Rhinolophus ferrumequinum: one gene and its partners. The protein of the gene in region 1 purifies or fractionates together with the protein of each later gene. This does not show direct contact. Links are inferred from orthologs where the notes say so. Each region holds a gene or a part of one and is shown in the gene's direction. Other genes may lie near its edges.

What was found.
Region 2: the proteins of ZC3H18 (region 1) and VIRMA purify together in Homo sapiens (affinity purification with mass spectrometry; 3 studies listed by BioGRID and IntAct, counting the BioPlex papers as one, with this or other methods). This does not show direct contact. The link is inferred for Rhinolophus ferrumequinum from reciprocal best matches to the Homo sapiens genes ZC3H18 and VIRMA.
Region 3: the proteins of ZC3H18 (region 1) and FNBP4 purify together in Homo sapiens (affinity purification with mass spectrometry; 3 studies listed by BioGRID and IntAct, counting the BioPlex papers as one, with this or other methods). This does not show direct contact. The link is inferred for Rhinolophus ferrumequinum from reciprocal best matches to the Homo sapiens genes ZC3H18 and FNBP4.
Region 4: the proteins of ZC3H18 (region 1) and SSRP1 purify together in Homo sapiens (affinity purification with mass spectrometry; 3 studies listed by BioGRID and IntAct, with this or other methods). This does not show direct contact. The link is inferred for Rhinolophus ferrumequinum from reciprocal best matches to the Homo sapiens genes ZC3H18 and SSRP1.

What each region holds. Positions count from the first base shown.
Region 1 is NC_046298.1:33,214,175-33,221,386, forward strand, and holds the start of ZC3H18 (zinc finger CCCH domain-containing protein 18), read left to right. Parts: upstream 1-4,192; 5' UTR 4,193-4,372; intron 4,373-7,212.
Region 2 is NC_046297.1:35,890,411-35,897,938, reverse strand, and holds the start of VIRMA (protein virilizer homolog), read left to right. Parts: upstream 1-4,516; 5' UTR 4,517-4,769; coding exon 4,770-4,832; intron 4,833-7,528. UniProt on the Homo sapiens protein: Associated component of the WMM complex, a complex that mediates N6-methyladenosine (m6A) methylation of RNAs, a modification that plays a role in the efficiency of mRNA splicing and RNA processing.
Region 3 is NC_046294.1:13,559,162-13,566,733, forward strand, and holds the start of FNBP4 (formin-binding protein 4), read left to right. Parts: upstream 1-4,553; 5' UTR 4,554-4,694; coding exon 4,695-4,917; intron 4,918-5,154; exon of another isoform or gene 5,155-5,222; intron 5,223-5,921; coding exon 5,922-6,014; intron 6,015-7,572.
Region 4 is NC_046294.1:11,754,400-11,761,602, forward strand, and holds the start of SSRP1 (FACT complex subunit SSRP1), read left to right. Parts: upstream 1-4,191; 5' UTR 4,192-4,331; intron 4,332-4,820; 5' UTR 4,821-4,895; coding exon 4,896-4,949; intron 4,950-5,341; coding exon 5,342-5,527; intron 5,528-6,150; coding exon 6,151-6,256; intron 6,257-6,524; coding exon 6,525-6,715; intron 6,716-6,820; coding exon 6,821-7,051; intron 7,052-7,187; coding exon 7,188-7,203. Other genes in the region: P2RX3 (P2X purinoceptor 3), read right to left, coding at 2,124-2,242. UniProt on the Homo sapiens protein: Component of the FACT complex, a general chromatin factor that acts to reorganize nucleosomes. The FACT complex is involved in multiple processes that require DNA as a template such as mRNA elongation, DNA replication and DNA repair.

The sequences.
Region 1 (7,212 bases):
CTGTCTAGGTGTATGCCTGGGGTGGAATTGCTGGTCACCAGGTACTGCTCTCAGCAATACCACATCGTTCGCCAACGTGGTTGTGGCTCAGTGTAGCTTACCACCCGTGTTAAATTCAGATTCCGTGTTCCACGGTCTGTCACAGCTCAGTGGTGGCAGCTATCTTACATGGTAAGTCATGCCAGTGCAGGTGTTGTCCTTGACTGACCCAGTGGCCCTTGCGGGATGTGACCACAGCCTGTCAGCACTCAGAATGTGGGGGAATATGCCCATCAGCATCAGTGACAGTGACCCCAAATGATAAAACAGATGTTTACATTTCTTTTACATATGTCACAGCCAGAGTAACAATCTGGAGACAGCCTCGTTCATTATGTCAGAAAAGGCTTGGGTCTTGTAGTCCAGCTGCCTGGGCTGAAATCGCAGCTCTGTGACTTTACACTTCTATTTCCCCAACTATAAAATGGACATAACAATGGGGGCTTTATCCACGAGGAGCTCGGCACAAGGCCTGCTGGAGTGAAGAGCAACACAAACCAACAAAGTTTGTGCCTGTTACCGTGTGGTCTCTTCATTCTGCAGCAGGTGTGAATAGCCCCACTTTACAGAACAGGAAAACTGAGGCTTAGAGGGATGTTGCTTTCACTCTCACACCTGGGGCAGACAGACCTGGGTTCTAATCCGACCTCAGCCATTTTCTATCTTTCTAAATGCTCCCCTCCACCCCAATAAACACACACACACACACACACACACACACACACACACACACACAACTAGATGTTGCAAACATTGTGATTAGCCACTCAATGCCTGACCCAAGGTTACAGGGAGATCACTGCAATCCTGCTCTCCAGGAGCTCGTGCCCACCTGCAGAAATAGACCAGGGCTCTGGTAGGTGGTCCATTCAAGGTGAAACCTGAAGAATGATTAAAAGTTAGCTAGATGAGGGGTGGCCAGTTAGCTCAGTTGGTTAGAGCACCATGCTTGTAACACCAGGGTTGCTGGTTCGATCCCTGCATGGGCCAGTGTGAGCTGCGCCCTCCACAGTTAGATTGAAACAACTACTTGACTTGGAGCTGATGGGTCCTTTAAAAAAAAAAAGTTAGCTAGAGGGAAAGGTGGGAACAGTGTTCCAGGCAGCAGGAGTGGCATGTGCAAAGAAAAAGTGTGGAGCGAGTTGAGAGCCAGAGAGGGAGCATGAAGACTGGCAGGCCAGGCTGGTGGGGCCAGATTACAAAGAGCAGGTACATCAGGCTTTGGTGTTTGGGTGCAGAGGGAGCCCCTGGGGGGGGGGGCCTCAGGCTGGAGTAGTGAGACTGAAACAAACCCGAGATTATAGAAAGATGGCTCTGGATATCTGGGGGAGGGTGGGGGTCAGGGGACAGTGACAGAGCAAGTGGTGGTAGCTAGAACCAGAGTCAAGGGGGATGGAGAAAAGGGAAGACAATTCAAGACTCAGTTGGGAAGTAGAGTCACGGGTACTGGGCAGGAGACCTGCCCCATTTGCCTCTCCTCACCTCTCCCAGCCCTTTCCTCTTTTTCACCCTCACCTCCTCTCAGCTATCCCCCTGCATTTTCTCCCCTTCTCTCCTGTTTCCCTTCATTTCTTTTCTTCTTAGAAAAATAATAGTTTCATTAAGGTATCATTCAGATGCCATAAAATTCACCCTTTTAAAATGCATACTTCAGTGGTTTTTAGTATATCCACAAAGTTGTACAACCACCACCACTGCCTAATTTCAGAATATTTTCATCACTCCTAAAATAAACTTTATCCCCATTTAGCAGTGACTCCGTATTTCCCCTCCTTCGGCTCTGGTAACCACTAATCTAAGTTCTGGCTCTATGGATTTGCCTCTTCTGGATATTTCATGTAAATGAAATATGTAAGTCGGCTCAGGCTGCCATAATAAAACCATAGGCTGGGAGCCTTAAACAACAGAAATTTATTTTCTCACAGTTCTAGAAACTAGACATCCAAGATCAGGAGGCTGGCTTGATTCGGTTCTGGCTCTGGTGAGAGCCGCCTTCCCGGCTTGCAGACATCACCTACGTGTGTCCTCACGGGATAGAGATTGGGAGGGAGACACAGAGGGAGAGGGGACTTCATTCCTTTATATGGCTGAATAATATTCCATGGTGCGCATAGACCACATTTTATTTATCCATCATCAGTTGATAGACATCTAGGCTGCTTCCACTTTGGGGTATTGTGAATGATACAGCTATGAACAGTTGTGTACAGGTTTTTGTGTGCATGTGTGTTTCATTTCTCTTGGATTAGATACCTGGGAGTGGCATTGCTCGGTCACATGACAACTCTATGTTAATGCCTTCATTTCTTCCCTTGCTCATTCATTCATTCAGATAACATAAGGCAAACACCTGAGTTAATTCAACTTCACTGTGGGCCAGACACTCATATTTGTGGGCAAAATGGTGGCAGTCTGCCCCAAGGAGGAGGAGTTTTTCTGGAGGTGGAAGATGGGGTGAAGAAAGGTCTGCTTTGCTCACCATCCCCCAAAACCCTTAGTTACCGCCAGGACCAGCTACATAATTTGCAGGGTCTAGTGCAAAATTAAAACATGGGCCCCTTGTTCAAAAATGATTAAGAATTTGAAGGCAGGGATAGCAGAGCATTCAATCAAGCCCAGTACCCTTCTAAAAGTGGGCTCCTTGTCTCTAAATGGAGAGCGCAGTTTGATCCTCTGCAGGCCGCCCTGAAGGCAATTGGTAAGATGCAAAAATACCCCAAGTACCACACCATGTCCTTCTAATCATGAAAAGTTACCCTGGTAAGCTCATCCCATTTAAAAGATGTGGAGCTCTTTAGTCTGATGGAAATAGTTAAAAATGTTTAAGCTTTAGTATTTAAACTCACTCCATGTCTCAAAATGATTAATTTTGTGTTGAACTGTTTATATTTAATAGAGTGGAAGTTATTTAGTCCCATGGAAATTGTTTTAAATGTTTAGTCTTAGCCTGGAAGAAACCTCAAAGCAGAGGATCAGCTAACCCATGTCCTAATTCTTGACCTACAGATATGTATTACACCCTGCTCACCACCAAAAGTCGTTTCCATCTGTCACCACGCAATTGACCCTTTTACCTGTTTCGCCTTCCCTCCATCCCCTTTCCCTCTGGTAACCACAGGTCTGTCGTCTCTGTCTCTCTGAGTTTGCTTTTGTTTTGTTTTGTCTGTTTTTGTTTTTTGTTTATTTTGTTTTACATTGCACATGAGTGAAATCATATGGTATTTGTCCTTCTCTGATTTATTTCACTTAGCATAATACCCTCAAGGTCCATCCATGTTGTCACAAATGGTAGGATTTCACATTTCTTACCGCTGAATAATAGTCCCTTGAATATAAACATGTATACTACTTGTTCTTTATCCATTCGGCTACCTAGATACAAGTTGCTTCCATATTATTATTACAATAATACTGCAACAAACATGGGAGTGCAGATATCTTTTCAAATTAGTGTTTTCATATTCCTCAGGTAAATACCCAGAAGTGGAATTGCTGGATCACGTGGTAGTTCTAGTCTTAATTTTTTAAGGAATCTCCATACTGGTTTCCATAACGGCTGTATCAGTTTACATTCCCACCAACAGGGTAGGAGGTTCTCAGCTGATTATTCTTAAGAAAGCAGGAATAGTTTTAAAATTTTTAAGTTTTTATACTCAAACTCAGTATCTCAAAAATGATTAATTTTGTGTTGAACTGACTATATTTAATAGAGCAGGAGCTATTGAGTTCCACGGAAATAGTTACAAACGTTCAGGCTTTGATATTTAAACTCAGTATCTCAAAAAATATTCATTTTTTAGTGGGTGCTTACGTTTATTAGAACGGGAATTCGTTAGTCGGAGGGAAGTTAAAATTGAAAGCTGCGAGGGCGAAACCACCCATCGCTGCGCCGGGCGGAGCTCCCCACCGAGAACCCAGGGCGGGAACGTGGGCTCGGGGTGTCACTTGACCGCCTGGCGCCAAAAGCCCTCTCCGCAGGCGCCGTCACCCCGCCAGCCGCACACTAACCCAGAACACCCCTGGGGCGGGGCCTCGGGCGGCGCCTGCGCCCTGGCGGGCTCGGGCGCGTGCCGCGCACCGGCGGGAGCGCGCGGAGGCCGGAAGGAAGCGGGCGGAAGGCGGGGCGAGCGAGGGAAGCCCGCCGGTCCGCAGGACGGTCGCGGCTTGATGACGTAGCACAATGGCCGGCCCCCGGGGGTAGTGGAGCCCGTTTGTTCCGCCCGCGTCGCGCCTCAACCCGGAGCCTGTAAAGAGCGGAAGGGCCGAGGGACGTCTTCCCTGCGCCGGCCGGACCCCAGCGGAACCGTGGCCCCCTCCCCGCCCTCGCGCTGAGGTAAGCGGTGGCGGCGGCGGGGCATCTGGGCCGGCGGTGAGGAGGCCGAGGCGGCCAGGAGGGGAGCGTGGCGGCGGCGCGGAGCCCAGGCCGGGGAGCTCGCCGCCGCCGCCTCCGGGGAGTGCTCCAGGCTGCGCCCCCGGCCGAAGCGTGGTTCTCGGACCCCGGGAAGGGGACGCTGAGATAGACAAGATCCCGCGTTCCGTCTGCGCGAGCTGGTCCTGGGGGTCCTGAAACCCCACAGATCCCGAGCTCCCCGCGGCTGCCTCTGCGCCCCGCGGTGGAGTTGATTCTCTTGAAGCTGTCATTTCTCTTCCGGGACGTTTGCGGGGCACATGTTTGCCGCCCACAAATGTGGGAGTAGGCACGCAAGTTCGTCCCCCGGAGGCTGCCGGCCCGGACTGGGGATGAGCTCTTCGGGAACTTCGAGCTCTCTGGAGCCTCCTGGAACTTGCTCTCTCAGCTCCCCCAGTGTGCACAGGTGGGAGGTGTAGGCTGTGCCTAGAGACGGGCGCCACTTTCTCAGGAATATGGGATTTCCTTGCCCCTTTGGATAGGAGCCCAGAGAATGCTGAATCCTTGGTGTAAACTAACTGCAGTCAGTATGATGCTGGAAGACCTCAGACTTTGAGACTTCCAGTCTTGCTCTTGCTGAAACTTAAGTTCTCCTCACTGCTGTGTGACAGCTGAGTTTGCTGGGGGGAGAGGTTGATCGTTTTAAATGCCAGCAGACGCAATTGTAAGAGTAGGTCAGTCTTCAGATTCATTTGGGGCAAAAGGAGGAAGAGGGTGTTTGACATCTGAAGTGCTGTTCAGGGGCGTAGCAGTGGCTCTCATTTCTCCCGTGAGACTCGCCTCCATCATACAGCCCATGGATTGGTTCTTGTCCAGAGCAGAGTTTGGGATTCTCAGGGAGAGACTGGACCCAGGCTGATTCCCACTTCCAAGAGCTGGGAGGGGAGTCTTGGTCTGCTGATTTTACAATCTAAGACGTGGAACCCAGCCAGCTCTGGAAACTAATCAGCTGTGTCCCGAAGGCTGGAATGCCTCTCCAGTTTTGGGTGGGAAATGCTCAAAACGTTGTAAGAAAGCTTTGTGGAATCATTGCAGAGAGCAAACAGGTAAGCTATGACCTTGCTCACGTTTAAAATAGGTTTTTTGTTTTTAGTTTTGCACAGCTATCCATCGTCTCAAGGTGAGTGCTTCCTCCTGGAGTATTTTGGTGGTCAGGCTTAGTCAGTTGGGGGGTAGTGTTTGTCAGCACGCTCAACATCTTTCCTTTAGGTGACGTAAGTACGTGAAGTTATGTGCCAGAACTTAGGCATTCAGGTAGAGACTGCTCTATTTAAAGCTGTTATCCCAAAAAGTTATCCTTGTATTTTATTGGTGCTCCTTTGCCAAAAACCTCTTGAGAACTCCTGTTTTGGTAGTAAATACATAAGCCATGTGAGAAAATCTGTCTTATTCAGTAGTCACACCCTGGGTTTGACCAAACATTGTCTTACCTTGCTTAATAACTCAGCTCACTTACCAGACCAGGCTCTGAATGGCTTCCTGTGGTTTGTCAAAGTGACCCACCTTGAGAGGAGAAAGATTTGTTGCTACTGAGAGCACCAAGAGAGTGTTTTGCAGGTTCGAAAGGTCACTCAGGAGGGTAGTTACCAAAATGTTCTGTGCTTTAACAGAGCTATTGTAATCCATATGCAGCCTTCCAGAGTGACTGCTGGGAAATGAGACAGCTCCCACTCTATGCTTGAGTGCTGGTATAGTCTTCTAAAAATGAGGCTCTTATTTCAAATTTCTTTTTAGTACGCAACAGGTAGTTTATCAGGTAATGAGCTTTTGTCATTTATTAATTCAACAAACATTTATTAGTCACCATTTGCCAGATGCAGTAGGCAGTGGAGACACAGTGAGTGATGGATAGTTGTTATTCAGTTCTCTGGGCAGGTTCATCATCTTATGGATCAAAAGATTAAAGAATTAGTTCTAAACTTTGCCAAGAATCCTCGATTACAGGGTAATTGTGTGAGAAGAACAAACAGTAAAATCTGGGCACCTGGGACTTAGTGAAGTCATGAGCAGAGTGCCCTCCATTTCATTGTCTACACTTAACAGTGTTTTTCCTACCATCTGACATAGAGCACACATTCAGATATTTGTTAAATGGAGTTCATCTCAAATTAATTTAGGACACAGACACCTAGAGAGACAGTTAACCTGCCCAGAGCATGTCCGGGAACGCAAGCCATCTTCTGATTCCCCAGTGACACTCTTCCTGTTCTGTGTAGCATGGTGTGACTTGGGTTGTTTCTGATAACAGGGAACTTCTTTGGCGTATTTCCCTCTGCAAGGTGTTCACTTGTGAGCATCCTCAGATTGTCAATTCCCAGGAAAGAAGAGATGTGACTCCTTTCCTCAAGAAATTGTCAGGGCCTCCGAGGGTGACTGGATGTCTCCATGAGCTGCGGACAGACCCTGTTCATGCCTGCTGTAATTGTTAACAGTGCCCCTTTTCAGTCTCAGACACGTCCTAGTTTAGACAGTAAATCACATGAGAAGTCTGCTACTACACGCCAGCCATTTGCTGAGCCTAGGGAACACAGGTGAGTGTGAGCCCTCTAGTCAGGCACTTCATAGGGGGCAGTGGAGCCTCCCAACAGACTTTGCAAACAAATAATCTCAGTACAGTGCGGTAATTATGGATACATAATAGAATAATGTACAATATAGTTAGAGCAAGAGTTCTTACTCTGGGGACCATGAATGGACCTCAGGAGATCCTAACTTAGAAGATAAATTGTGGTATCCAGGTTTTTCTCAGGAGGAGAGACATCTCC
Region 2 (7,528 bases), on another chromosome or scaffold:
GAGAGAAGGTGTGTTTTAAAGTGTTCTGTAAATCATCCATCATCATGACAATTGCTCCATGTCACACATCGCTTCAGGTATACAGCAATCTCTGTCAAATAAAACCATTACGGTCTGTTCTCATCCACCTTATTCACCGGATCTGACATCGTTCAACTTCTGGCTCTTCCCTAAAGTCAAAATGATTCAGGACATCGAGGCAGCCACGACAGCGCAACTAAAGACTCACGAAAGAGGACTTCCAGAACTGTTTCAGAAAGTGGCAAGAATGATGGGATAAGTGTGTTTCAAGGGAGGGGGAATATTTTGAGAGGGATTAATGGCAATGTGTCTTTTAGTGTAATAAATTTTTTTATTTAAACATTCACCATATTGTTTGATCACACCTCATATATGTCTAGCCACTATGCCGTACACCTGAAATTAATATAAAGTAATAATAAAAAAAAGAAATGTGTGAATATCAAATCTCTTGAGGAGTAGGAGTAGACAATAAGGGGATAGGGAGTATGAATATACCACATTTTGTTTATCCATTTATTTGTCGATGGATATTTGGGTTGTTTTGACCTTTTGGGCATTGTGAGTAGTGCTGTTCTGAACATGTGTGTAAAAGTAATTTAGCACCTGTTTTCAATTCTTTTGGTACATACCCAGCAGTAAAATTGCTTGGTCATATGATAATTCTGTTTAACTTTTTGAGGAACTGCCAAACTGCTTTCCACAGCAGCTGTAACAGTTTACATTCCCACTATCAATATACAAGGGTTCCAATTTCTCTACATCCTTGCCAACACTTATTTTTTAAAGTTATAGTCATCCTAATGGGTGTGAAGTATTTCATTGTAATTTTGATTTACCTTTCCCTCATAACTAAAGATGTTGAACATCTTTTCATGTGCTTATTGGTCATTTGTACAACTTCTTTGGAGAAATGTGTATTGAAGTCCTTTTGCCCATTTTTTAACCGGTTGGTTTATCTTTTTGTTGTTGCGTTGTAAGAGTTCTTTACGTATTCTGGAGAGTAGACCCTTATCAAATATATAATTGGCAAATATATTCTCCCATTCTGTAGGTTTTCTTTTTACTCTCTTGATAGTTTAAGTTTGATGCACAAAAGTTTTTAATTTTGAGGAAGTCCAATTTATTTTTTCCTTTGTTGCTTGTGTTTTTTGTATCATATCTATGAATCTATTGCCAAATCCCAGGCAGTGAAGATTTACCTGTATGTTGTCTTCTAAGAGTTTCATGATTTTAGCTCTTATATTTAGGTCCTTCATCCATTTTGAGTTCATTTTTGTATATGGCATTAGATAAGGGTCCAAATGCATTCTTTTGCATATAGCCAGTTATCCGAGCACCATTTATTGAAGAGATTATTCTTTCCCTATCAAATAGCCCTGACACTCTTGTTGAAAATCAATTCAGTATATACGAGTATGTTAAGGTTTATTTCTGGACTCTTAATTCTATTCCATTGGGTCTACATGTTTACATTTATGCCATTACTAGTTTTGATTACTGTAGTTTTACAGTAAGTTTTAAAATTAGGAGTGTGTGTCCTCCAAACTTGTTCTTTTCAAAGATTATTTTGACTATTTGGGGTTCCTCTGCAATTCTGTATTAATTTGAGGATCATATTTTCCATTTCTAAAAAAAAACTATTAGAATTATGATAGGGATTACATTAAATCTATAGATCACTTTGGGTAACATTGTAATCTTAACAATATTAAGTCTTCTAATCCATAAACATGGATGTCTTTCCATTTATTTGAGTCTTCTTTAATTTTTTTTCCAGCAATATTTTGTAGTTTTCAGTGTACAAGCCTTTCACCTTCTTGGTTAGTTATTCCTTAGCTATTTTATTCTTTTGCATTATATTTTAACTGTGTGTAGATTTTTGAAAGCCGTATTGAGGAGTCACATTCAAAGCAAAGAAAACCATGTAAGAGATTCACATCTCTTATATCTCTTACCTCTGTATTAGGCGAGCTACATCTAGCTGGGAATGGCTGAATCATCAAAGTGGTGTGGTAGGGACAAGGTGAAAGAGTGAGCAAGAAGTGAGTATGATGCCTTACAAACTATGAGAGGTGATAGATAGCCAACCAGGGATTCGGGGCTCTCCCGGAAGTCTAGTTAATACCTTCTCTCTTCTTTGACCTCTTAGACATCTTTCTGCCCTCTCAGTCATAGCTGATGATCTCATTGAGACAAAGAAACCATTAAAAAGGAACTCCCTCATTTCCACATACTAAGTCATTATTCCTATCTGTATGTGCACCCATGGACTCCTTTCCCCTTGTTACCAGGGAGCAGGTGATTTTTCTAGCAAAGGTCACTTTCTACTTGGGTTCCCTGCCCACATACTCAATACTTTGCTGCCTCAGATATCCCCTTTCTCTCTTCTTCATCACTGTTTCTCTCTCCATTGCTTCATTCCCATCAGTCTGCACACTCTGTATAACATTTATGTCATTTATGCCCCCATCTTAAAAACACTCTCTCTTGACCCCATGTTCCCCTCGAACAACCACCTAATTTCTCTGTTCTATGCAACAAATTTCTTGGAAGAGATGTTTATACAAGATTTCCTCTACTCCTCAATTTTTATTAATCTTTTAAAATTTTACTTAATAGGTAATATATGTACATGGAAACAGAGTCCCTCTATTTCTGTACCTTAGCCATCAAGCTCCCTCCCAGGAGGCAACAACTATTCTCAGTTTCTTGCATAATTCCTTCAGAGATAGTCTATAAATTCAAATATACATATAGTACATATGAGCAACACAAATAGTGAATCCTAATGTAAGTCACGGACTTTAGTTAATAATAATATGTCAATACTGGTTCAATTATAATAAATGCATCACATCAATACAAGATATTAATAATAGAGGAATCCTTGAACAGGGGAAAAACGGAATATATGGGAGCTCTGAATTATCTGGTCAATTACCTGGAAAACTAAAACTACTCTAAAAAATAGTCTATTAGTTAAAAAAATAGCTATCGCACACTACTCTTAGGTCAAAATGAAAATCAAAGCTAAGAAAATCAGACTATGTAAAATATACCAATAATATAAAGCACTATAAGGTATATTAACAGTTAAAGCAGAGCCTAGGTGAAAGTTGGTAGACATAAATATATATAGTAATAAGATATATGAATATAAATAACTTAAGCATCACTATAGAAGTTAAAGCAGAAGGAATTAGTAAATTCCAAAGCAGAAACTAAAGAATCAGAAAATAGAAAAACGCTGGAAATAATAAATACGAATGCAAGAACTGGTTCTTTGAAAAAACAAATAGTAAAAGAGACAAACTATTAGTTAACAGAGGAAACTGGTGGCTGAGGAAGGGGTGGATGGGACATTTACTTTAAAACTGAAAAATGAATGCATTATTAAATATTTCAGACATATCAAAAGGCACAGACAATAATGTAAGACACAACTGTGAAACCACCACCAATCTAAAGAACAAAATATTACCAAAGCATTTGAAGCCCCTGTGCACTTCTCAATTACATCTCCCTCCAGTTCACCACTATCTTGACATTTTAGTGTTTATCATTCCAATGCATTTCTTCATAATTTTAAAACATATATGCCCCTAAAAATTTACGTAATTTTGCATGTTTTGAACTATATAAAGGTGATTTTACACTATTCTTCAACCTGTTTGCTTAACCGTTTTTTAGATTATCCATGTTAGTAGATATAGCACTAGTTCACTCCTTCTACCTGCTATATACAACAACCACGTTGTATAAATATACCAAGGTTTACTTATTATTCTCGTTAATGACAAGTTTACAGCTTTTTTTGCAATATAGTGTTGCCATGTACATTCTTGTATCTGTAGGTGTATCTTTGGGCACGAGTGCAAGAATTTTCCTAGAAGTGAGGTAGGCACGTGTAATTTCACTAAATAATTCCTAATTGCTTTCCCAAGCACTCCTGTCTATATAGACTACCAAATAGTTCCAGTTGCTGCAATGCTCAACAGGGAGACGGCGACTTTTCACTCTACATTTTGATGTTGATGGCATTTCACGTTATACAATTTCTTGAATTTTTATTTCAATTTATCCTCACAAAAAGCCTGTGGGTTGGGTATTATTATTTACATTTTGAAGATGAGAAAAAAATCTCTTCGTTTTAAGACGTTTCTTTTCTTCTTTTTAAGAAGTGTCTTACTATTCAACTTAGATAATTGCACTTTTTTCATGCCAGTCTTGGAAAAACTGTCTGCTTGCTGGCGGTTTCACTGGGTATCCAGAGCCGGCAGCTTTCCCCACTCCTCCACCTCTTCAAAACCTGCTCGACACTCCGCCACTCCGAGGCCATTGCGGCTTTGTAACGCGGTAGAATAACAGAGTTTGGACCACTGGAGTCACCGTAGTCCTCCCCTCTTCTCCCTCCACCTCTTCGGTGCTTCGAGGGAGCCCTCCGCCGCGCTGGAGTAGGCGGGGCCGGCGACTTCGGGAAGTACCGCGCTTCGGGATAGGCCAAGGCTTGAGGCACTAGCGCTCCGGTCTCCGGAAGTGCTGCTGTCTCTCTCTGTCTTTCTGTCTCTCTGTCTCTGTCTCTCTGTCTCTCCCTCCCTCTCTTTCCCCCTCCCCTCCCCCTCTCCCTCTCCCTCTCCGTCTCCCTCTCTCTCACTCTCTGTCTATCTCTCTGTCTCCTGAGCCGCAGTCGCTGAGGTTGGACGGCTGCCCCGGAAGTCCTCCCCCTTTCCCCTCCCGTGGCAAACATGGCGGTGGACTCAGCGATGGAGCTGTTATTTTTAGATACTTTTAAGCACCCGAACGCTGAGGTAAGTCTTCACTATTTGATTCTGACCCTGCTTCTCGACTTTGGTACCCTTACAAAAAAATCCTTAGGCGTGCTTCCACTTTTCTTCCTGCCGGTTGCCGCTTTAATTCCTCACATACACCCCCCCTCCCTCCCAGCAGTGTGTGGGTACTGCGTCTGAGGGAGGGCAACGGTGGCCCCCACATTTCTCTGCGTTGTTACCTCAGGCTCCCGCCTCTTTGGTTGAGGTGGCTGCTCAGCTTGTTTTGCTCTCCCCCTCCCCCCTTCAGCTTTAGGCCTTGAAATGATCTTGGTTCTCAGGTGTACCTCAGGGGGTGTTTGGGAAGGGTCCTCAGACCGCTTGTGTTTGACAGTAGTGCAGGTAACCGATCAGCTCACCTTGGCTTCGTGGTTCCTAACTCCCTTCTACTAGGTCCATTTCCTAACGGGAGTTGGGTTGCCCAGATGTGGCACTCATTCGGTTTAGGATTGCGGCGTTCTCCAGTTTGCCCTGAAACTTTAATACTTACCTCCTGGAAAGATTTCACTCATTAGGACATGAAATACTTACATGGAACGGCTTTTGCGTGGAGAATACCTGCGAGGAGGGGAAAATTGAGAGAATTGTAGTCAAACTATAAAGCACTGTAGTATTGTCGTTTTGAGGGGCGAGGGTGGGGAATTGTGGAGTAATCGTTCGGTAATAATCTGAGCGGCCCTGAACATATATGACTGGCTCTGCGGTATGTAAATTGAATGTAGCTAAATAGCTATGAGTTCTCGAAAGCCGGTCAAAAATGAACATTAAGAAAGTCCACAGAGAAATTAAAGAAACCTCAGAACCCACACATTTTCTTTCAGTGTAGACTTAATCATTTTAGAGAACTATTCTTTCCTTGGAGATAGTGATAATAGTGGGTAGTGGTTGTATCTTAATGCTTTACTTGACAAAATAAAAAAATGTCAACGTTGGTCTTCTAGTTACTTTAATGAGTGGTTTATAGGTGTATAAAAATAAAATGTTTGGAAACTTTAGCATGTCTTACTAACAATGAATTAATTTGTTGTCTCGCATTTCATGTAGGTCAATTAGCTCTTTGTTCAATGACCATACTTTTCTGGCTGTAATTCCACCTAGGCTTTAGAAAACTCACAATGGAGGCCGTAGTTGGATCAGAACAAACCTGTCATGTGTACAGAAATAGAGAACAGTTAAAAATGAAAGAAAGAAGCATATGATGAATTAGTAGTATTTTAGTTTAGGAAAATTAGCATTCATTCACTTATATATTTAAGAATCTGGTATTTCTTTATTCATTCTTAGACAAACATTGAGGACCATGAGAGGATAGGAACAGTATCCTGGCAATGTTTGGGGAAGGCTTAGTAGAGATCACATTTGAACTGAGTCCTGAAGGAGAAGTGGGAATTTATAGGGGGATATGGATTTTTTTTAAAAAAAATTTTAGTTCTGGATCCTGATTTCCTGGAACCTTTTCCTGTATCTGAAGCCTATTTTTAAAAATTTATTATTTTATTTGTCAATTACAGTTGGCAGTTTATTTTATATTTGTTTTAGGTGTACAGCATAGTGGTTGGACATTTATATAATTTATGACGTGATCCTCCCATTAGTCTAGTATCCACCTGGCACTATACTTAGTTATTACAATGTTATTTTTTGACTTGGGAGGGATATGGATTATTGAGATGTTTTGTTTTAAAGGAGTTTATAACTAAGTATTGGAGAGTAGGTCTACAACATTATGATTCAAGTTAGAATGTGATGAGTGCATAAAGAGACAGAATGCCCATCACTTTCTGACATACTAGGACCCCAGTTGGTATTTATTTAGCCCCCTTTTGTTGGTACAAATAAAGGTTGTGTGATTTCCGAGGAGAGATCTTTATTTGAGAGCATTAGGAAAGACTTCATCAAGGCAGTTGGCATCTCAACTTGATCTTTGGTGGAAGAGGGTATGTTCCACAGTAGTAGACAGGAAAGGAGGATATTCTCTTGGAATAGTCAGTCTTCTGTAGTGTATGCGAAAGTAGCAGTGCGAAGTGGCACCTGAAAGGTGGTTCCAAGCCAGGTCATAGAATTCCTTGATGCTCAACAGAGGAGTACAGACTTTATTTTGTAGGAAATGGGTAGTTTTTGAGCAGAGTTCAGTTTTGGACTTGCTGAGTTTGTAGTGCCAGAGGAACATTCAAATGGGGATATCCAGTTGGCAGTTTGATATAGTGGTTTGGGGCTCCGGAGAGATGTTCGAGGTGGAGATAAGGATTTGAAGTCGACCTCTGGCAGTGGATGAAAATCTTATTTCTTGTAATTTTATTTATTGTACTTAGCTACTCTGCTCTACTTCCCTCTCCCATTTTGCCCTCTCGACATGGTGAACTGTGCTTACAATTACTTGACCCTTCCAAGTTCTTGTTTGCTTTCCTTTTGTGCATGTTTCTTCCTTTGTCTGGAAAGCTCTTCCTTCTCTTTCTCTTCCACTGATTCTTGTTTTCCTTGCAGACTTAATTAGCTCAGGTGCTACTTCCCAGACACTCTTTTCCCCCCATAAATATTTGCTCACAATCAGAGTTAGGTAAATACTTCTCTGAATTTTCAGTTTTCTGTGTGAGTCTGTGTTACAGCAATTTATCTTTCTGTCTACCCCAATAGATTGTTCCTTAATGGCAGAGACTATGTCTTGTCTTTGTATCCAC
Region 3 (7,572 bases), on another chromosome or scaffold:
AGGGGCACAGGTGAAGGGAAAAATAAGAGCTAAGAGAAAACCTAAACAGAAAATAGCTATTAAGCCGTGGAATTTTCTATTTATCCCTGTAAGGAGGTAATAACTTCTGGTCTTTCGTCCACTATCTTGGGTGTATTGGCCGGGAATCGAACCCGGGTTTCCCATGGGGCAGGTGATGAGAATTCTACTACTAACCACATTGCATCATGGAGAACTTCAGTCAAAAGGATGTAAGAGTTTGGGACTAGCCTCATTGACAGCTCTCAAGTCCTGGACCATACAATATTCTCCATTTGGCTTTTTTACAGGCAGTATATGGGAGTTATAAGGGGACTGAGGATTGTCAGCCCATGACAAATACATTTATCAATGTGGGGTTTTAGTTCCCGATGAGCTTCTGGTCTCAAGTATTGGCGCTTGCATGGGTATCCTGCTGTTTCCTTTATCCTAATCTTTATAGAAGGTACCTGAGTAGATTAGACTTTCCAGGCATTCCCTTATCCCATACTATAGGATTTACAGCCAATCACATATGGGCCGGGATGAGATCCACAGGAACCTTGGTTGGGTCAGAGTCTGAGGCCAAGAGCGACATCAAACGATTGAGTTCATGGGGTGAGTCAAGAAGCTGGATGTTCGTGCCCAGAGCCATCATTAAATCCCTTCCCATTAAGGGAGTGGGGCATTCTGGCATAACTAAGAATTTTTAACAGACTAGACTAGACAGTCTTGGAGGCCATAGCAAAGGGGTGGGGTGAAATATCTTTTTTTAGGTTGGCCATCTACCTCAGTGATGGTGCCAGCTTTAGAGGTCAAAGTCCTGTGCATGATCTGTCAAGACAGAGTAGGTGGCTACCGTAACAATTAAAAATCTATTTTCTTACCTGCTACGGTACATCAAGGGTCACCCAAGGTTTTTGCATAATCACAAATGACGTCTTTCATAAGGCATCACCAGAAGGCCTGTGCTCCTCAGTCCTCCACAGATAGGACCATTATGGGTTTAGGTGCCCCCAGTTCCCTTCAGAGCCAGGGGCATTCCCTCTTCCAGTGGCCTGATTGGTTGCATTGAGGACAGGACCCAGGGGCTGTTTCCTGGAGCAACGACACTGGTTGCTCCAGTGCCCAGATTTTCCACAGCTAAAGCAGCCCCCCTTCGGGGCTGTGGGGAATGTCCCTATAGACCATCCCTTTATCTCTGTGGGGTGATCCTGAGGTTGCAGGGCGCTGCTGATAGTGACCACTACCATTTGAGCCTGTCACCTGGCCTGCCTGGTCTCACACGGGGTCTTTTTATCCTCCTTAACCTGGTCTCAATTGTTAGACTCCAAAGGCCATAAGCAACAATTGAGCCACTGGGGTCAGAGGGCCAGAGTGCAGTTTTTGCATCTTTCTCCTGATATCAGGAGGAGACTGACTGACGAAATGCTGGCCAAGCAGAGATTTTCCCTCAGGAGAGGAAGGGTCAATATTGGTAAATTTTCTGAAAGCCTTGACCAGCTGCCCCTGAAACAAGGCTGGATTCCGCCCCCCCCACCCCCATTCCTAAGTAACCTCCTTGACCTTTTCATAATTGAGTAGTTTGACTATACATTTTTCATACCTTCAGTTAGACAAAGCACCATATGGTCCCTTTTAATAAGATCTCCCTGCCTCAAATGATAATTCCAGGCAGGGTCCTGATTTGGGAGCACAGTTGTTCCCTGTGGGGTCTGTCTGGCTGGGCGGCAGCCATCCTATCTGCATGTCCTTGGGCTGTGAGCCAGAGTCTATGTTTTTCTTCAGGAGTGCAGCAAGCGGACATGACTATCAGGACGTCTCTCCAGGTTAGATGAAAGGCATTGTGAAGGCCTGGAATTCATCAGTAAATTCACTCAGGTCCTCAGAAATATCCTAACTTAATTTTGCATCGGGCAAGGATTGTCATGGAGAATAAGGCATGGATTCTAATGGTCCCTGCATCTCCATTTGCAACCTCTCTGAGTAGACATAATTTGGTAGAATCCGGGTGGTGAGAAGCTCCACTCTGGGTATGTCCTGGGGGGCTAAGTTCAGCCATCTCTTTTGGCAAGGAGTGTCAGGGGGAATAGAGGAGAACGGGGGAGGAGGTGAGCTGGAACTTGTAGGTGGAGGAGAGGGCAAGGGATAAACTGAAGAAACTGGGTGTTCCGGCCCTGGACCTCGCTGCTCTTATCAAACCCCTTCCCTGACAGGACAACAGCATTCCCGATAGAAGGCGACCGTCCAAGAGGTCAGGATTATCTTTAAGTGGGGCAGCCAGGGGAGTGTGAGCATAACAAATTTTACAGGAGCCAGTCTTTTCTGGGTCTCGATAGAGGGCCATCTGTACATACAGAATCGCTGTCCATTTTCCTTCTCCTTTACAGAAGAGGTCTAGTTGGAGAATTGTGTTATACTTTAGGGTCCCATTTTCCAGCTAGTTTTCCCTGTCCCCTAGTTTATATTGGGGCCAGGACATATTGCAAAAGAAAATAAGGCTGACCAATTTAAAATTTTTCGTTATTTACTATGCAGCCGAGTGATGAGTCTTCAGGTGTAGACTAGGAATTTCTCATGATGCCTAGAACAAGAAAACAGAAACTAGGTCAGACTAGGGAGGAGGGCATCCACTGGCTCTTGGTGTCTGACCAGCAAAACCCGGGTGTCCCCAGGGTAGACCTGGGCAGTCCCCAGTATTGAGAGCTCTTGACCCCTGGCGATTCCGGGGTTTAGAGCAGAACAGAGGTTTCCAGGCAACAGAAGCCGGGCTAGTAGGACAGAGGGAGTGGGACTTTGTAAAATGATATTTGGATCTCTCCTGAAAAAGGACCTCATGGCGCACAAAAATGACCCGAAAAATACAAAACTCCTGGAGGGAAGAACTCCTAGATTGTCTCTGTGATAATCAGTGGGAATGGCAAATAAGTGATCTAAAGACTGAATGGATTTCACCTGCAAGATTGGTCTAAGACTGGTTGTCACATCAGGAATCCAACCTGGGCTGCAGCACTGAAAGTGCCAAATCCTAACCGCTAGACCACTGAGAGAGACCACCCCTCTGTGCCCAATCAGCACTGATATATTGGGGCCATGGGCAGCAGACTGACAGCTGTCAAACCCAGAGGCCGCAAGAGACCAAAAGGCAGGAAAGTCAAAAGAGGAGGAGGGGAGCCTGGGCCTGTTCATAGAAGATGAGGATGAAAAAGTGATCCCAGGATATGCAAATAGTTTGTCGCGACAGATTCCACTATTATAGACAGGCTAGACAGACAGATTGGATAACAGAGAAGTCCAGAATCTCGGAGGCCGTACTAATCCTGAGACGGGAAATTGCCACGGGGAAAGTGGAGAGGTATGATTGTGGAACTGTGTACCTCATTGCACGGATATTTTCTTCATTTTGGTAGGGAAGCCTACAGCCAATCTACCCTGATCCATGACCAACTTATTCTGTCATGGGAGTCTTCAAGACCTTAAGTGCTCGGGCAATGGCAAAGATTTCCCATCTGAGTGGCCAGAAATGTCACCAGAGGCTAATGGGTATGTCCAAGAGAGAACTCAACCCAGAGCAGCGGTGACCAGATTCTTGACACTGCATAAGAAAGAATTCACAAGCAAAACAAATGCAGGAAAGCAAAAGCGATTTATTGAAAACAGAAATAAATCTTGAGAAGAAAGTGTGGACCAACTGAGAGAAGGTATCTCATGGAGGAAGTCATGATCAGAGATTTTTATTCCTCCCAGGGAAGGAACTGGTGACATCCCATTGACGTGATTCATTCATCTCAGCCCTCTGGGTGGGACCCTCCGTTTCCTTTTTCTTCCTTAAATGATTCCTCCGAGACCATCATGGTCTCAGATGCATGATGGGAGGCACAGTAACCGCAATGCAAATGACATTATAATGACATTAAAATTGGCTAAACGTCAGATCCCAAGGTCATAGGGATTAGCCTTACTGGATGAAACTGGTTGTTTTTCTCCAGCTGCAGGTGGTGGATAGTCACTTGTTACTTGTGTAACCAGTGAGGTCCTTCATGTTGTATCCTGGAGGGGGTTGTCAATTTCCTAGGCTACCTATCCTGCTGCACTTCTAGTGATTTTTTCCCCCAGCTGATGAGCAACATCATCTTTGTGCGCTAAAATAAACATTTATAAAAGCATAAAAGACCACTATTCTATTTAGTGTTCAATGCTATACCCAAAGTAAACCACAATAATCAGGGTGAAACTCGGGGAAAGGCCCTCAAATCAGCATAGCTTCCTAGAGGACAAACGAAGATGAACAGTAAGTCCAAAACAGACACAAGATGGAGGACAAGAGGGTGAAGAAAAGACTCCGCAAAAATGCCTGGGTGGAGCCCCACGTGATGGGCAAGTAATTCTAAACTCAGGCCCTTCCGCACTATTGGCTTGACGCTCACTCTTTTTCCTTTTCAATTGGCTAAAGATTCCTTCAATGGGTCAAAATAACCAATCGCTGAGCGCGGTGGATAAAGCCCGCCCTCCCTCTCTGGGGAGAGAAGCCAGAACATAAAGTGCTCAAGGCGCTTGCGCTGGCGCGCGCTCCGCGGTTAAAAGTGGATCCTCGCAGGAGGCGGGGTCACCGTACATGAATATTGATTACGCAGCGCCACGCCGAGCACCCTCCCCTCTCGGCTGTCCGACGCTAGCAGCTCGCGCTTGGGCTCGCGATGGGGAAGAAGTCCCGGGCGGTGCCCGGCCGCAGGCCTATCTTACAGCTCTCTCCACCGGGTCCCCGGAGCAGCACACCTGGCCGGGACCCGGAGCCGGAACCCGACACCGAGCCGGACTCGACGGCGGTGGCGCCCAGCCAGTCAGCCCCGCCGGCGCCGCCGCCGACGACGACCACCGCGGTGACTGCCGCCCCGGCCCCGGAAGATTCGCCTTCTGAAGGTAAGGGTGCGCGAGGGACCTCGGCCCCTAGGTGGGGCGTCCACAACTCGAGCTCGGGTCTTGTTGCGGCCTAGACCTCCCGGGCAAGGCCGGGGAGGAAGAGAATCCTGGCGGGCGGCGTCTGCATCCGAGGCCTGCTGCGTGGGGCCTGCGGGAAGGACGGCAGTGTGCCCCAACGTGGCGGAAGGGGCCGCGGAATCGCGCGCGCCAGTCCCAGAGGCGCCATCTCTGTTGCAGGGGTTGGCCCGGGCACCCAGAGTTTCGTCAACGTCCACGCTCGGTATTGGATAACTTACGGGGTAGATGTGAGTATGCGTTTCCGCGTTCGAGGCTTGATGTCTGGAACCTGATCTTTTCTGCACATCATCCGCTTTTCCCTTCGTTTTTGTTGATACTGAAAGAGACCCTTTAGAAGTGAGCAAACCCTTTTTACTATGCCAGCTAAAGTGTAAGTAAGCCCAAGTTGGCGGGTATCCCAAAAATTCCTGGAGAAGTAGAGCTTGTGGGTTCCCAAGTACTTGTGTGTTTCTCCTCGGAATGGTACTTGAATTAAGAGTAACTGGACAACGCTTCTATAAGCCAGACCCTGGAGTGGTTATTTTAGGTGTTAAAAAAAAAAATCACGTTGGTAGCTCATGCGGGGAAAAACATGCTATAGCTGTGCTTGTTGTAAAGGCCCTGTGGTAGCCTGGAGATGATGTGTTTGTGTATTTTTAAATTATTTCAGGTGTAATTTTTATAGGTAACGTTCAGGTTCTTAATGTTAAAGTCACTAGGTGGAGAAAAGAAAAGATAAAAAAAAGTAATTAGGTAGTTGGAAGATTCTAGCTCTACTTGTTTTTCATCTCCCACTTATTTGGGTCAGTGATGGATTATACACCCTGCTTTTAAATTGATGAAATTTAGAGTTGAAAGGTTAAATCAAAGATTATTTTGTCACCTATAGTGTTTTCTCTGGTCCATCATCTGACTGTAGTTTTCTTTTGTTCATTTTCTAAATCCAGATGAACAGGAAGTGGTGGTGGAGGTTCCCAGAGTTGTTCAGAATCCTCCAAAACCAGTCATGACTGCCAGACCCACAGCCGTTAAAGCAACAGGTATAGATTGTTTTTATTTTCTACATCTTTTCTACAGTATCTTTCATTAGCATCAAATTGGGTTTGTATATAGTGTTGTTGAATGCTTCGGTGTTGCTAATTTGTCTTTATCCCATAAAAATGAACATTTAAAATCTTTGTGAATTTGTTGTGAGTTAATATATATATACTACATACAGACACATATATATATCCTACATACACACGCACACACTTCAACCAATGTAAAATTTGTTGCATTTTATTTGGACCCAAAATACTTTGCACTACTTTTTCTTCTAATGCCATTTGGTAATGAATTTTCTGGCTCCCGCCACTAGATTTGTGTTCTTTAACACACTGCTTTGGTGGTACCTAGCAAATGTTTGTGGAGCTGAAAATTGCTTTTATTAAATACTTATTAAGCACTAAAGAGTATTTGCGACAGTGGTTTTGTAGGCAAACCTGCGTTTAAATTGCCACTCTGGCATTCATTCTGAGGCCTCAGGACCTCATCCACCTATACAATGGATCTTTCAGCCCTAAGTTAATTTGATGATTAAATCAAACAATGCGTATAAAGTTTTGACACATAGCAAATGCCAAAAGTGTTAGTTTTCTAATTTCTACCTATCTTGAAAAATTAAAATATGTTTTGATACTAAATATTCTATAATTGGTAGTAATTTTATTCTTTGCAGTTTGGACTGCTTTTTGTACTATGTGACACTGAAATAATAGATGCTTATTCCTCCTCACCGCCCCCTCCTTCCTGTTTGCCACTTAAAACAAAACAAAAGAATCCCAGTCTGAGTTAAAAAATCCCAGTGTGGTTGTGAGAGATATATCCAAAGTAGAAAATACTATTTTGTACTTACTAGCTACGTATGTTATTTCATTTGAGTCCTCTAAGAATCATGTAAGATAGAATTTAAATGTTCCTGGGAGAAATTTCTTTAATTGCTATGTCAGTCAGCACTTTAGGCATTTCTGTGCTTTGTGAACAGAAAAGCTTTTATTCTGTCCAAAATCATCCTGTAAGGTAAACGCTATAACAGCTTTTTTCAGTTCTTAACCTACCAGTTGGTATAATGCATAGAAAAAAGTTTGTCCAACAAAAACCAAAAGGAAAACAATTTTCCATTATTTGCATGGCTTTGTGTAACAAATAGAGTAGATACTCAAGAATTTACTTTTTAAAATATATCTTTATCACGTAAACATACCAAATTTCTTTCCACAAAAATAAAAATTTTAAGTTATTAAATATGTTTTTATAATATAGTAAAACAAGCATATCTCAATACTTTTATGCTAAAAACATTGCATATGCATGTGAAATTAAGGAAAATTTTAGAATAAGTTCTATTAGATCAATTGACCACTTTGATTGTCAACCAGTATTTAAGCATCTTCTAGAAAAGGGTACTTAATGTGGTTCCACAGATGAGTGTCAGCGGTGTGTGAATCCCCTGAAATGGCACACTCAAAGTGTGTTTCCTGGGAGAAGGTCTGTAGCTTTTATGAGATTGATTATTAATAATTTCTGTGACTAAAAGGGTTAGAAACCACTGTTCAA
Region 4 (7,203 bases), on another chromosome or scaffold:
GGATTCTGGCTTGAGTGCCACATCTCCAGAAAACCTTCCCTCGGTTCTCTGATCAGGTCAAACACCTCCATACTAGCAGTCTCTCCTAGCACCCTGAGCCACAGTTGAGATTTTACATTTGTTGGCAGAAATTATTTGATCAATGTCCATCTCTGGCATGATCTGCTCCATGAGGGTGAGGACCCTGTCTGCTTTTGCCCACCGTTCTATCCTCAGTGCACAATATCTGGCATGAAGAGATGCTCAATACATTTCTGCTAAATTAGCGACAATGGATTCCGGAAGTCCTAATGGTGCATGGGCTCACGTGCGTGTGCAGAAATGGGGCTCACACCAGGGGGCTGGGCCGCAGAGGGCGCGATATAACTGGAAGGAGCTGCCCCGTGGGGAGCTGTCAGGCTGGGAGATGGATGGGGATGAATATCAAGATGCCAAAGAGCCTCTCGTGCTTCCTCCAGCAGGCCCGGCTCCAGCACCGAGGATCAGAGCACCAGACTGCATCCTGATGCGGGAGAGACAAGGGCAGTGGGGTGCTGAGGAGGCTGGTCCAGGAGCCCGTGCCTCTACCCACCTCCATCAGTCTCCTGCCTGGACCCAACGAAGTCAGGCCAGGCTGGCAATGTGCTGAGGCAGCATTTGCACTCACCTGGACCAACGCACCATCCTGTGGCTGCATATAAACCATCAGTGCATCACACATGCCCGTGAACGTGGAAGCTTTAAGAACCAACTCTGAGCCAATCTCCGGAGGTGCGGGCAGGAAACGTTTGCAAACATCATATCTCACAAAACCTCAAACTTGGAAGAGAACTTCAAGGCCATTTAACCCTACCCCGAAGCATGAGTCCCTTCTCCAATGTCCCCACGAGGAGTACAGGATGTACAGCTTTGTCTACAATACACGCATAACTGAAGCTTACTGGCTCTCGCTAAGCCCGCGGAGCAAAAATCCCTTAATTCACGTCTAGCCACATTTCCACGCACACCCTCACACACTACTGTGACCTTCAGGCAAGGAGGCCCCCCACACGCAGCTCCCACCCGTACGCACACAGGATATTTCCTTTGGCTTGCTTGAATTAACTCATGACAACCATCAGTGGCTTGCTGTCTCTCTCACACAGACCCATTGTCTCAAGGAACAGCACGAGACTGGAGACCTGTACACCGGGAAAGAAAACCCTTGAGGTTTTGGCCTGTATTTCCTGATGCCCGTGTGTGTGAGGGACCATGAGAAGGACAGAACCTGTGTGTTTTCCCCCACCATTGTGTGTTCCATGGCCCTTTGTGCATGGGTGTGAGTGTGAGTGTGTGTGTGTGGGTGCCTTCAAGAGGTGGGGGCCACAGGGGTGTTCAGACCTTGCTGGCTCTTAGGCACCTCCCAGCTGGGTTATATAGTACAAAGTCAGGTAAAAATAGAGAATTTACGTTTTCTGACAAAGGGGAGTGTTTCTGGCTTCTTGAGGAAGGACGCTACACTATGTTCAGAAAAGCCACTTTTCTCTTCAACAGCTCTCCCCTCGAGTGTTATTGGTGCCCGTGGTTCTCCCTCCCTCCCAAGGGGCAGGTCTTCCCGCTTTGTCCTACCCTCCAAAAGCCCGGCTTCTCCCCTTTTCATGTTCTCTCCCCATCTCTCCATGCCAGGAGGGGACCCTCATTCTAAAGCGGATCCAGTTCTCTCCTTCCCTCCTCCAGCTGGCCCTCCTGACACCCCGCAATCAACCTGTCACTGGCTCCCTTGTTTCAGTGCCTTTCTATCCCCATTCCTGGAATCCCTTGTCTTTTTGAGACCCCAAAGGGTTGACTGAGATGAATGGGAAGATGTGTGTTTGGGGGTCTGTCTGTTCTCTGGTTGGGGGGGAGAGATGAGAAAAGGGAGAGGGGAGACGGTCACCTGGGACCTCTCCTGGTGGAGGGTAGTGCCCTCGCACTGCGTGTCTCGGGAAGCCCCTTCAACTCCGGAGGGTTTACTGTGAAAAAGAACTCATCTCAGGACCAGATCCCCGATGGGGCCACAGAGGCCAGTCCGAAGGACATGGCTCCACAAAAGAGACTTCCCCCAGAGAGAGGAGAAGCTTGGGAATCTGGACAGCCACACTAAGGGGAGAGGGGGCCAGACTCACCCCACAAAGTAGGAGATGATCAGAAGCTGAACTGCTCGGTTGATGATCCCAATGGTCCAGCTCTTCACAACCACCGACTTGGTGGTCTCGTAGGTAAAGAAATCTGACATGCAGTTCATGTTGAAAGAGTGTTCGGGGGCCACTCAGAAGGGACCCAATGGCAGTCTCAGGAGGGAGCAGCCCTCAGACAGGGAGATAGGGATCAACGCCTGGAGGGGCGGCGTAGAGGGGCTTGAGGAATGGGGAGCCTGTTCCTTTAAGTTAGGCAACCCTAGTCCAGTGCCCAGGCTCTCTCTGCTCTTGACACTCTGGGCTGCCAAGAGTCCAAGGCCAGGGCGGTGGGGGGGGACCCCTTTTTGTTCGTCTCCACCCTACTCCCCTGTGATGTCATGGCAGGGGTGGGGTCTCCAATCCCAGGCTCCTGATTGCCTGGGATCCAGCTGGCTAGGGCCCTCTGGGACTCATGTTTTATCTGCACTCTGTCTATCGTTTCTGTTCTGTTCCGTTCTCTTATGCTGCATCTTCATCCCAGCTCACCAGCTGCTTTATGCTCTCCTTAAAGCCCCTTGCAATGCCCCATCCCCCAGCCACCTAATAGCCTGCCTGCTCTGAGTACCCCTTTCATTCCGGTCTTCCTAAAGCCACTCAAGTCTGCAGCCATCCCCTCCCTTCCCAAGTTGCCTCCAACAGCATGGGGCAGGGGGACGTGGTCTTAAATATTTCAGGTGGTCTCTTGGGAGGGGGCGAGGAGCGTCACAGCTCATATTTCTAACTGAAATTGGCAGAGGCTGAAACTCTATCTGTAGTATTATCACATTGGGTTATTTATTTCTTTTTGTTGTGTTTTTGTTTTACTGTCAGCTTACTCATCTGAATCATTTGTTAGATTATATGCTCCTGGAAGGCTGGTGCTGTTTCCATCTTGTTCACTTAAATATCCTTAGATCCTAGAACTCTGTTGGCGCTCAATACATATTTATTGAATCCAGATGAATTTATGTTGCTAGATAGTGGTGCAGTAGCCATTACCCAGAGGTGACAGCCATGAGTTCAGGGAGCAACAGTGCACTCCCGCTGTCTGTTATACCAGGATTCAGTCAGCAAGCTGGTGTAACTGGTTTAAGTCAGATTTTCAGAGAAATCTTGAGTTTAAGTTTTCTGTCCTAATGTTTTCGCACAGGACACATACGCTCAATTGTTCTGAAGGTAGAGTTGCTGTGATTATGACAGAAGAGAACTGGACTGGGGCAAGGACATGTGGGTTCTAATCTCCAGATTTGTTGCCAATTTATGAGACGCTGGTTAACTCCTCTTTGGGCCTCAGTTTTCCCACCTGCAAAAGGAGGTTGGAGTTGGCGAACCCAAACTCGTCTCCTGGGTCTGGCCACCTTTGATTTTGCAAGATGCATCCTAGAACTATGTGAGGAGGGCATTTCTCCCTCCGGCAATCCCAGATTGATGTGGTTTCAGGTCAGCTCTGGCTCTGACACCAGCACTTGAACTTGATACCTCCGTTTACCAGCCTCTTCCAGGCAACCATACATTGCAGTTAGACATGTGACGTTTTTTGGGTGCAGACAGTGAACTCATTTCCAAAAGGATCCAATCTCATGTGACTGACAGGGGAGAGCAGGACAGTCACAATGACACCAACACACGCATTCTCTTCGCAGCCAGTGGGCGGGGTCATTTCTCTCAACTCTTTAAATATGTATTTTTCTTCTTGTCTCACAAATTCCTACTCTACAGAAACCACTATTGGGCAGGAGAGAAGGGCCCACATCCATCCAACACATATACACACACATCTGTGGAAAGTCTGATAAAAGAAAACTACACAATTTCTCTTTAGAACCTAGTCCTTCACTGAAGAAGTGTCTGTAATATTTAAAAAGCCCTACGCGTACCCATTTTCTAGCCAGATTCCACGCGGGTGGGACTTCCTCGCCGCCCTGCCGACCTCAGGTCCTCCAGGGCCGCCGACGCTCTATGTGACCGCCTCGTAGGTGGGCCGAGCTCGCACCTCTCTAGCCATCTCATCCTCTCTATGATCCGAGCACAGCTTCCGGTGGCGGGACTCTGGGGCGCGCACGCGGGAAAAGGTTCCCCAGTGTTCCCCTACCCCCTGTGTCCCTACCCCCCTTCCCCCGCATCCCCTAGCGCGCCCACAGCCCGCACCTGGGCCGTCACGAGGCTACTGCTTTAGAGGTGGGTGGTCACCGTCCCCGGGCCTCTGGAGGGCGCGGGTCCCGCTTCCCCCCGGGACGCTCGAGATGGACCGTTCCGCGTTCGAATCTGCGGGTAGCGGGCGAATCCATTTTAGGGGGAGGGGGAACCGTGGGCCTGGGGCCGCGGCGCGGTGGGAGCTCTGGGAGGGAAACCCTGCACTCTGAGCTGGGTTGGAGCACGGGTGAGGTGCGGACTTCAGGCAGGCCCTGGGATACCGCTGCTCGTTGCCATGGCGCCGGGTGGAGCGTCCAGAGCCCGTGTCTGGTTAGGGTGTAAGCGCTACTCCAGGCCTGGTTCTCTAGCCGGGGCTGGGCCTGGCCCCTCGAGCTCTGCGGAGCCCTCCTGTAGGCTCCTAGGCAGAGGAGATCCTGAGACATCCCAGGCACAGCCACGGTTGCTACCTGGCCCCATCTGGGGGCAGAGTGAAGTGCTGTCTTTCACGCTCGTCTGTTTTCCTCTTGAATTCAGATCCCCAACTTGCTGAGGATCTGCACACCCATCCAGGAGTTGGGGCCCAGCTTTCCCCAAAAGGGAAAGGACAGCATGGCAGAAACACTGGAATTCAATGATATCTATCAGGAGGTGAAAGGCTCCATGGTAAGAAGGGCTTGGGCTTCCACTACAGGTGGAGAAGGGAAGGGAGTGGACTTTTTGTCAGTCAACAAGAGCTACTTTGAAAAAGGAGTCAGTATAATGCGTACCTCGTGTTTCCCTAACAAAAGGCAATAGTGAGAGAGTACAAGAGTTACAGGATCTCAGAGTTGGAAGGGACCGGACCTGCTGCTCCATCCCGCATCCCCAACCTGAGGACCTGCAGGGGTTCTGGATGCCAGAGCCCGGATTAGAATCCAGACTTTCTGGCTACTTGTCCCTTCTTGCTGGCCCTCACCACTTCAGCTGTTGTTCCTGCCAGCCTAGGTGTTGGGTGGGACTGTACCCAGTATGCACTGTGCACCGTCCCCGTGCATTTGGGTCGATTTTTCCAACAGAACGATGGCCGGCTGAGGTTGAGCCGTCAGGGCATCATCTTCAAGAACAGTAAGACGGGCAAAGTGGACAACATCCAGGCGGGGGAGTTGACGGAGGGCATCTGGCGCCGTGTGGCTCTGGGCCATGGACTTAAACTGCTTACAAAGAACGGCCATGTCTACAAGTATGACGGCTTCCGAGAATCGGTGAGGTGCCCTGTTGCCATGAACCCCCCTTTTATGGCGTCGTCTTGTTTAATTTTAATGTAGAGAGAGTTGGGGCTCCTTCCTCTGATAACCATGTATTTGCTAGTTTGGGCTCCACAGAGCAGGGCCATCGAGGTCATTCAGCAGTCCGTGTCCAGTTTTGGGTGCAGAGTCTTGGGGGAGTCTTAGTGTCTTGACTCCAGAAGATTTGCTACCATTTTGATTTTTTTCATGGTTTCTGCTTGTTGCCTTTGTCCAGGTTCAGCGTCTTAGCTTGATGCTTTAGTTTGGGTGTTGTTTTCCCATTTCGAACTGCTTGAGTTAAAGACTACTTCACGTTAATTTCCACTTGCATTAAAGCAACACCTCTATAAAGTCAGATAGCATTGTGAGGAATTGTCAGTTCCGTATTTCATTCTCCCCCCAGCCTGAGAGCCAGTCCCCAGAAACAACCTTTTTCAACATCCTTTTAAACAATTTTATAGCTGAGCTTCTAAGTCAACGTGGATTTCTGATAAAAGGTATATCAGGGCAATTTCTCCGACATAGATGATCCCGAATGTTCAAGTTTGTGTTAAAAGCACTGGGGTTTACTGGGACTACTCTCTCCACTCCACTTGCAGGAGTTTGAGAAACTCTCTGATTTCTTCAAAACTCACTATCGCCTTGAGCTAATGGAAAAGGACCTATGTGTGAAGGGCTGGAACTGGGGAACCGTGAAGTTTGGTGGTGAGTCCTGGGCAAGGATTGAAGTTTGGGGACAAGATAGGATGAAGGGTTTCAGCCTTTAACTTGTTTTGCTCTCTTTCTGTCACTGTCTCTGACTTCCTGTCAGTCTGTAATTCATCATGTATTTATTGAGGACCAACAGTGTTTCAGGCACTGTGCCTGGTCTTGGGGGTACAGTTTGAGCAAAGTAAGCCCAGTGCCCTGCTGGGAATTTGGCTTCTGCAGACTCGAGGGGAGGAGCTGGTGGCTGATAGCCCTTTCCCTACAGGGCAGCTGCTTTCCTTTGACATTGGCGACCAGCCGGTCTTTGAGATACCCCTCAGCAACGTGTCCCAGTGCACCACAGGCAAAAACGAGGTGACATTGGAGTTCCACCAGAATGATGACGCAGAGGTCTCTCTCATGGAGGTGCGCTTCTACGTGCCTCCCACCCAGGAGGATGGCGTGGACCCCGTTGAGGTGAGGTGTCCCCTGGTCACCTTGGGAGCAGATGGTATTGAGCAGGCCTTAGCTGGCCCAGGAGCAGAATCCCTGCTACTGGATGACCAGTATGTGCTTTTGCAGGCCTTTGCGCAGAATGTGTTGTCTAAGGCGGATGTGATCCAGGCCACTGGAGACGCCATCTGTATCTTCCGGGAGCTGCAGTGTTTGACTCCCCGAGGCCGATACGACATTCGAATCTACCCCACCTTTCTGCACCTGCACGGCAAGACCTTCGACTACAAGATACCCTACACCACGGTGCTGCGTCTCTTTTTGCTGCCCCACAAGGACCAGCGCCAGATGTTCTTTGTGGTGAGCAGAGACCACCGGCGGTGGATTGTCCTGGTTTTTGCCCGAGTCTTTAGTAGCTAGATCTCACTGGGGTTCAGTTAATCAGCAAGTTCTGGACCATTGATTGATGTTGAACCTCGTCGGCTCTTCCTTCCAGATCAGCCTGGATCCGC